Solanum lycopersicum: one gene and its partner. The protein of the gene in region 2 binds, or shares a complex with, the protein of the main gene of each other region. Links are inferred from orthologs where the notes say so. Each region holds a gene or a part of one and is shown on either strand. Other genes may lie near its edges.

What was found.
Region 1: chlorophyll(ide) b reductase NOL, chloroplastic (region 2) and red chlorophyll catabolite reductase, chloroplastic share a complex: the UniProt entries of both Arabidopsis thaliana proteins name them as parts of the SGR1-CCE-LHCII complex. The link is inferred for Solanum lycopersicum from reciprocal best matches to the Arabidopsis thaliana genes NOL and ACD2.

Annotation. Positions count from the first base shown.
Region 1 is NC_090802.1:10,423,374-10,427,659, reverse strand, and holds the start of red chlorophyll catabolite reductase, chloroplastic, read right to left. Parts: upstream 2,938-4,286; 5' UTR 2,871-2,937; coding exon 2,538-2,870; intron 43-2,537; coding exon 1-42. UniProt on the Arabidopsis thaliana protein: Catalyzes the key reaction of chlorophyll catabolism, porphyrin macrocycle cleavage of pheophorbide a (pheide a) to a primary fluorescent catabolite (pFCC).
Region 2 is NC_090804.1:48,915,665-48,920,178, reverse strand, and holds the start of chlorophyll(ide) b reductase NOL, chloroplastic, read right to left. Parts: upstream 2,991-4,514; 5' UTR 2,891-2,990; coding exon 2,632-2,890; intron 1,133-2,631; coding exon 1,064-1,132; intron 1-1,063. UniProt on the Arabidopsis thaliana protein: Required for chlorophyll b degradation. Chlorophyll b, chlorophyllide b, pheophorbide b and pheophytin b can be used as substrates. Belongs to the chlorophyll catabolic enzymes (CCEs).

The DNA of each region.
Region 1 (4,286 bases), on a different chromosome or scaffold from region 2:
GGGTAAGTTGCAGTGAACCCAACTACCAAGTATGAAATCAACCTGTCACAATTTAGAATAGGCAAAAATATTAACCTTGCTTATACTCCTGATGAGAAAGTTGAAATCGTTAACTGTGTGTTCCCAGTTCATCTTTTATTATAGGCATTAGAAAAAGAACACTAAATGGACTTGTCAAAGAACTCTCAATGGAATGACTAACTATAAGCGGAGGAATGGAACTGGATAAGAATAAATGAACAGAAGCCAGATCCAAATTGCTATCTCCCTGATGCTTTTGCAGTCCTTATGTATAACTCCCCAAGAAGACATCAGGTGAATGCAACTTGCAGAGAACTACAAATTATGAACAAGGATAATTCTTGAAATCGAGCAGTTACATTGGTTGGTCAATTTTGGATGCACACTCTCTTAGCTTCTCTCTATGAAGATCTATTGATCTTTTCAGCAAACACCAATTGTGCATCGGAACCCACCTAAAACACTAGTTATACATTCAATCCATACTCATCTCAACCAACTGCAGTCTCTCCTACACCGACAACTCAGTAAAACGCACCCGCTCTCCTACAACCCCCAATGGTTAGTTTGAACCAATCCAGCCGAAAAATCCCAAACACACAATAATCAACTCCTTCTAGCACCAACAACCACAACACCAATAAACATCATCCCCTATTTCTTCCAATCCTTCAGAGGAACAACACATGGACAATAATAAACTCCTAAAGCTTGCCCCTAACAGTTCACCAGAACCTCCAACTTGCTATTAACACTCAGCCTACTCTTTTGCAGATCACGCATGCAACACCTCAACAGGAAAATACTACCCATTCAAAATCCACCCACCAAAATCATTTAACCCCTCAGCCAAAGGTGTCCTCAGATTTCACACACCCTCTTCAAAATTGAAATCGGATGACGCGACCAACATCAATGGAACTGATCATAACCCTGTTGCCACTGATAAATCAGAACCCCAATATTCAACTCCAACAGAAACATCCCAATTTAGCAGGGAAAGGTAAAAGGGTGCTACTTCATCGAAACCAACCTTCACAGAAAGGTTCAAGCTGATTTGCCAATGCCTCAATCGCCGAAGCTCCTGTTGAAATTAGGCATGAGACTCATCTCGGAAAGCCAACCATATATTTCTCTGCTGATGACTATTTCGTGAATTTGGCTAATAATTGCAAATGACTATTGTGGGTAAATTTATCAAAGGAACCTACTATGAAAGAACTAAGGAAAATTTTTGTGAGTCAATTTCAATTGAAAGGAAGAGTCGAGATTGGGTACTACAACTACAACACTATTTACATTGACTTTCTGTAACAAAACAGACTTCAATAACATTTTTTCAAGTCATTCATTCACATTGGGTCGGTCATACACTATGAAATCCTGAGATGTGCACAGAATTTTAAACCAGAGCAAGAAACTTCTATTGTTCCAGATTGGATACTAGTTCACAACTTACCTCAGCACCTATTCAGATGGGAAACTCAGTGCCGCCAGATATTGAAGTTGGGAATGGTAATGGTGAGAAGGTGAGATTGCAGATCATATGAATTTTCCCCCTACAGCTCCTGAAGCTAGGGAATGGGGAACAAGCAGAGATCAAACTACTTTGACAAGATCACAGAAAAACTAGTTGAGATGTATTTCACAGAACAAACTGCAAACTATTAAAATATTAGTGGGAGTTTGCAGCACATTCACGAATTTTGTTTGTTATATATTTTTTAATTGTAACGAATGGATTGTTATTTACTAGAAAGTGCAAGATATATAGCTTGAACAAGAAATACTCAATTTGAAATTAGCTCAAAGGAAACAGATTTGATAAAAATCTTGTCTGACTTCATTGGGTGAATAAAACCAAAAATACATTTGCTGATCTTCTTAACTCCCATCACCACATTATACAGATAAGTATTTGGCATTTCAATTCATGTTACTTCTATTAAAAGAATTAGCATACATAGTAAAAAGGACAATCTACAAAAAGCACAATGCGTAATGGATTAACTCTTCTGCATAAGCCAAATCCACTAAAATAAGATGACAAGATCTAGCTTTCTCAATCATTATTCTATAGTACATAATAATTTTCTTGTTTTCTTTATCAACTTCACTATGTACAAGATAGTAGTGTATTCATTCATATTGAAGGGCATTAGGAGAAAATTCTTGGCGTTTTTTTTTTGGTTGCATACTTTATGCATGCTCAAGCCTTGAAGCAAGGCTTACACATGTTGACCACTTCGCTTAATGTGCACTTCAGTGTCGTCATTAAGTCCCAAGACAAACTTTTCCTTGAAAATAAGGGTTCTAAACTATTGGTATCACACTTTATTATTATGAAAATCAATTTCTTTGTCCATAGATTTGTTATTCACCCTGTATATACTAATTCAACAAAACATCCAACAGGAAGTAATTCTATATCATACTACATATAATTGACACAACTGCAAAAACGAATGAATAGGTAATAAATAGTAGAATCAATTGAGGAGGTAGTCGGAGAGTACCTGAGAAGAGGAATTTCCAGATCTGACATAGAGAGAAGCATGAGCAGTAGCAGATTCATTCTCAAAATACTGCACATGAGAAGGCAGAGTACAAGGAAGTAGAGACTCTCCAAGACGATTCTCCACAGTCGATACAAGTTCCACCATTAACTCTCTATGCGGAACAGATGCATAAGGAAATTCCTTAAATTTCGATTCATGATGTTCCATGGAAGTTGATGACGACGAGCAACAGAAGCGTTTTCCGACGGAAAAAGAACGAGAGGAAGAAGAGGGGAGTGATTGTGTGAGAATTGAAGTGTGAAATTTGGCAGAGGAGAGTGGAACAGCCATAGCAGGAGGACTGTCATGTTCACTGCTATCTCTTTGCTTTTTGGGAAGCAAACGAACATCACGTGCTGTGGCCCATGTAATACGCTGTCGTTTGTATTTTTAAAAATCAGAATTTTGAATTAGGATTTAAAATACAAAAATTTGATTAAACATATCTTAAACATGGTTATTTTAATCAAATTTTTGTATTTTAAATCCTAATTCAAAATTCTGATTTTTAAAAATACAATATATATATATATATATACCAGTCATTTATTTCATATGTAAATAAAATTTATAATTTCTATCATGATTTTTTAAACGGTTTGTATCTCATATAATGATTGTTCTCGCAATATGAATTTATTTTGACTTTAAATTAATGCATTTCTTAATTTATCAATTATATCTATGAAAATTATTATATTTTATCAAATTTATAACTATAGTTTTAAAAAACTTGAATTGGTCCATAATATAAAAAGGAACTTTGCATATATTCACTCAAAAATAGCCTAATTATGCTTCATAGTTATAATTTGTTAATTACAATTCGTAGCTATATGTTATAGAGAAAGAGAGTGACGAGAGAGATTGAGAGAGGGATAAGAGATACGAGCGAGAGAGTGAGAGGTGAATTACACATGTATATCAGGTAGATAATTGTGTATTATACATATGTATTTCTATATATGGCAAGCGAGATTGAGAGAGGAGGGAGAGAGATGAGCGAGATTGAGAGATGGAGGAGAGAGGGTAGAAATGGGATAGAGGTAAATTGTGTATGTATATTGGTTAGATAATTGAATATTATTCATATAGGTTTTGTATATATGACAAGTAAGATTGGGAGAAGGAGGAGAGAAGCGAGCTAGGTTGTGAGAGGGAGGAGAGAGACGAGCAAGATTGGGAGAGAGAGGAGAGAATCAAGCGAGATCGGGAGAGGGAGGAGAGAGGCAAGTGAGAGAGGGCAATAATTTGTATATTCGCATCTCGTTTGTATAATTCGTGGGTACCTTTGTATAATTCCGTGTTTTTGCATGATTGAGCAATATTAAGTTTAAAATTATACAAATATGAAAAAAAACACCTCAAAATAACGAATTGATATAAATATACATTTATTGACTTTAAATAGTTACATTAAATAAATTATATTATAAAAAAAAAGTGCACGTTTATACAAACTTTTGAAAGCTATACACAAAAAGATTGAATATATAAAGTGACAAAACTGAGAAACCAAAGGAAATTATCTCATATGCAAATACAAATCATCGTATAGAAATATAAATCAAACAAAGAATTGTTAGTTGTGAATTATACGAATGTGGATAATTATACAAACGTGACTAATTATACAACTCGAAGTCAGCCCACATAATTAATGGTTAATGTTAGTCGCATGTGGTAATTATAGCAAACTATAACTAT
Region 2 (4,514 bases):
CCACGGTCATCCTTAACAGAAGTGGATACAAACTACTCAAAAGTAAAATTTCTCCAACTACTCTGTTTACCCCTTATGTGAGCGTCTATGTTGCTCGGACTCTTCAAAAATGTCAATGGGTGCGTGTCGGATTCGCCAAAAGTAGTGTATTTTTGGAGAATCCAAGACGGGAGCGGCACCAAAAGTGGAGAGTCCGCGCAACTAAGGCGAGCGTGCAGGTACAAATTCACGAAGGCCAAATACAAATATTGGTTTCCGATCTTCTTCTTCTTCTATTTGATGGGAAGGAAAACTACAACAAGCTAATTAAAATAATAACCATAGAGCAGTGCAAACTTTCAACAACATGATCCCAGCATCCAAGTTATTCTGACTACTGAGCCTATTACAATTTCATTTTCTTTCTTATAGTATTGTGGCAACCAAAAGGAACTAACTATGAAGTAGTTAGTGTTCATCTGTTGCGCATCATATCTCTTGCTTGGTGAATAAGGAGAATAATGAAATATCTTTCATTGCCATAGTACACTCGAGTTTGATAACTGTAGCAATTGGACATCACACACCTACATCATATGATTTCCTTGATTTTTTTTACAATACGGTGGTGTATGAATCGTTTAATGTGCCTTGACTATTCCACTGAATACTTGCTAACTCCAATCAGCATAGGTATTCAGTAATCTGTCCATCAAGCCTTAAGCAGATGGGAAGTAATCACCTTTACCCTCCGTTTCATTTTATGTGTCTTAATTTGACTAAGCACAAAGTTCAGAAAATAAGAGAGACTTTTATATTTTGTGGTCTTAAACTAAACATGTATCCCAACTCCTCCTATATCATCATGACTCTCGAACTATGGTACACCACTAATGGCACATCGATTCCCATGATCCCACCATATATTCTGCATATTTCATTTTTACACAATTGACTACCTTTTTCACAAACTATAAAATAAAACAAATATAAGAGAGGAACTGAACAATGCGAAAACCAATAATTCTATCAGTTAATGACATCATTGAAGTCAATGTTATTGTCACTTATGATATAAAATCACCTGATCTGGAGCAAATGATGACATTATCACCTGCCTTGAGAAATTCTTTAGCTAATGCATAGCCTATTCCTGAAATAATAAAATAACGTCAATTCTAGACATCTGCAGTTAAGTGAAAACAAATAGAGAAACAGCTGTATATTTCAGAGTGACTTGTTTTATATCCATGTGTCCACTTCGGGAAACAAAGTAGGCAGATTGAAATATAATCCATGAGCACATGCTATTAGCTACAAATATAATGGTTTTGCTAGAAGGTAAAGAATTCTTTTAAAGTTGCCAATTAACAGGAGATTGAACATATTATATCCTTATCTAATACAAAGTCATGTCTTCCAGTGATTACACAAAAACATGGCTGAGTTTTAGCATACAAACACTTAGTCACTACAAAAATTATCAAAGAACGATCAAAACGAGAAAAAAATGTGAATAGAGCCGTAATATATTAAAAGAACAATAAAATCGAGTTACAGAAAAGTTAACGTGACCACCTATGAAATAAATAGGCGTTGGTGGTTGTTTCAACCATGAACCAAGAAATTATACATTTTAATGACCAACCGTTGCATTTTTTGAATTATCAGGGAAAGGGAGACATTGAAGGCACTCAAAGGAACTACAAATCGAGATGCATGTTATAGCACTCCAGCTGAAGAAACATGGCCTTCAGTATAAAGCTATAAATTTTACTTAATTCACACCATCAACAGTTAAGCTTCATCATTCCACCATGATAATTAAGGTCTAGCCCAGTGGTTTGGGCTTGGGACTGTTAGAGTTCTCAAGTTTGAAACTCCTTGTCAAGTTGCTAGCAAAAGAAAGGGGTTTGCCTTCTGGGTTGAGCTCGTCGTACCGATCTTACCTAGTGGGGGTTACCAAGCTATTGCATTGGAGTGGGGGTCTTACCCAGTGCGCACTCAAAGGGTAGCGGCTACGGGTTTCGCTTGTCATCAAAATGAAAATAAGGTTTGCACTACTATGCAAACTATATTTCTCTTGCCATTTAGGTGATCCCTCATATTCTTTTGTTTCAGCGGAAGAAACTGCACGACTCTTGGGAACATCTTCAAAAACACAGGTGACAATGAACCAATATGAAGTTGCAAAAGGGAAACCAAGGAGTACATCAAACATTAAGAATGGTCATGTTGTTTCAAACGTTAAAAAATTAACTCCTTCTAACATTAAACTCTTTCATGTTGTTGCATGACTAGACAGAATATATAAGGCATCACCATTGTTGTAGTGAAATGTAGTTCAAACGGAGCCTTCAATAATCAACTTCAACTCAGAACATAAAAATGTTGGCAAGAAGCTCATTGTATCTGATTTTACACCATATTCAATCTTGTTTGACTTTTGGAAATGGTATTTACCCCTTTGGCCATGCATTTTCAAGTTCCTTAGTAGGTTTATAAGTTGGAAAAAGAGAAGTTAGAGATAAAATGATCATGTATGACGGCCCAACAGAACCCTAAACAAAGACTTAAGTACACTAAGACAGGTATGCGCAATCAAGACAAAATTATGATAACCCATTGTGCATTGATAAATATTGAACTAACCTTTGGAAGCACCTGTAATTAAGACATCGTAAGGAGGAAGCATTGGCTCCTTTGTATTTGCGTGTGGAGAAGAAGCAGCCTTCACAACAGCAGCAGAGAAACGAAACGAATTGAATTTAGATATTAAGCAAAACCTGGAAATGGGAGATAAAATAGCTGAAGGGTGAAAAGAAGAGTTGAATTTTCTAGTTGAGAGAGAGCAGAGAAGTGATTTAGGAAAGGATTGAAGTGAAGCGGTGGTAACACTCATTTCAGCCATTGGACTGAAGAACGAGGGAGTAGTGAGAAAGCCGATATGATCTTTCGAATTCACTTTGTTATGGCCACACGTAGTGGCCGCGAATGGAATGTGGATGGTTGAAAATGGATAAATAGAAAATAGGTTCATATTTATACGAGTAAAAATTAATTGGATAAAATATTATTTTTTATTCATATTTTTATTAATGAATAAATAATATTTTATTCAAGAATTCAATATGAAAAAAATATTTTAATTTTTTTTTAGGTGAAAATGTAAAACATGCACGCTTCATTTAGTTTTATACTTTGATCGTATCATAAAAATAAAAATAATCCTATAAATTTTCAATATAAAATAAATTATGTAATAACAAGATGAAAATATTTTAAATTTCAAAAGAATGCAGATTTGTATTTTAGGACTAAAACTTGCTTATGCACTTTAAGCAATATCAATACTAATGATTTGTTTATTTTACACTATTATTGATTATTCAATATAAAATTAAATAAATAAATAAAATATAATTATAATTAACAAAAGAATGTAAATTTAAATTATACATTTTTAGAGGGTCAAAGACTTCACCTTATCAATTAGAGAGAAGAATAGTTAATTTTATAGTATAACATAAAAAGCAAGATAAGCTACACTATTTTTAATGATATTTTGAGTGAATAAAAGTTAGAAGTTTAACTCATTTGAATAATTTATAATTTACTCATATTTACCCATACTTTTATGGATCAAATATGGATATCAACCCATATTTTATCCATGTGAAAAATCACTCATCCAACCCATTAAAATATGAACGGTTTGAGCGGATCACCAAAATATGGGTTTATTTTGCCGGCACTAGCCACACGTATATGAGTTAGTGATGGCAATGGGGTGGTGTGGTGCCTGCCCCACTCCGCCAAGAATAACAACTTTTTCACTCTCAACCCCAACCTTGCCATCACATGAACAACCCATCATCATTTTTTAATGTTTTCTTTTTCTAATTAGTTTGACACTAAGAATAAAATTTATTTTTCATTAAATTGTGTTAATTTAATAGACAATGATATAAAAAAATATTTTTTTTAGAGGTCAATAGGAAAGCATGTAAGAAATTGTATTATTTTTTATTAAATCATTTTTATTTACTATCTTGAATATTTTAGTAGCTTTAAATAAATTATCTGAATAAATAATAATATAACACCTTATAACATGTAAAAAAATTTAATAAGTTTGAATTCGCATAAAATAACATGTACCCTCAGACCCCATTAGTTTTTTTTGAAATACACTTTAACCCACCCCGCGCAATCTTAAACTTGCATTGCACCGCATAGCATTAAATCCACCCCGCGCAGTTTCTGATCTCTCATTGAAATTTCTAATATGAGTAATCATTACTTTTAGGTTATTTAGTCACTGATTTTTGTGTTCGAGAATTGGAGCATTCCTACTATAATTACTTGTTTTTACAAGTATATTTTTAAAATAGTTATTCAAAAAAGTGTTTTAATTTTGAAAAAATAACAATTTGTGTTTAATTAATTCATTTTTTTGGTGGAATTTCCAACTTTATTGAAACCAAAAAAGTGTAATTAAACAAGTAGATGTTGACCATCTACTTCTCAAATTG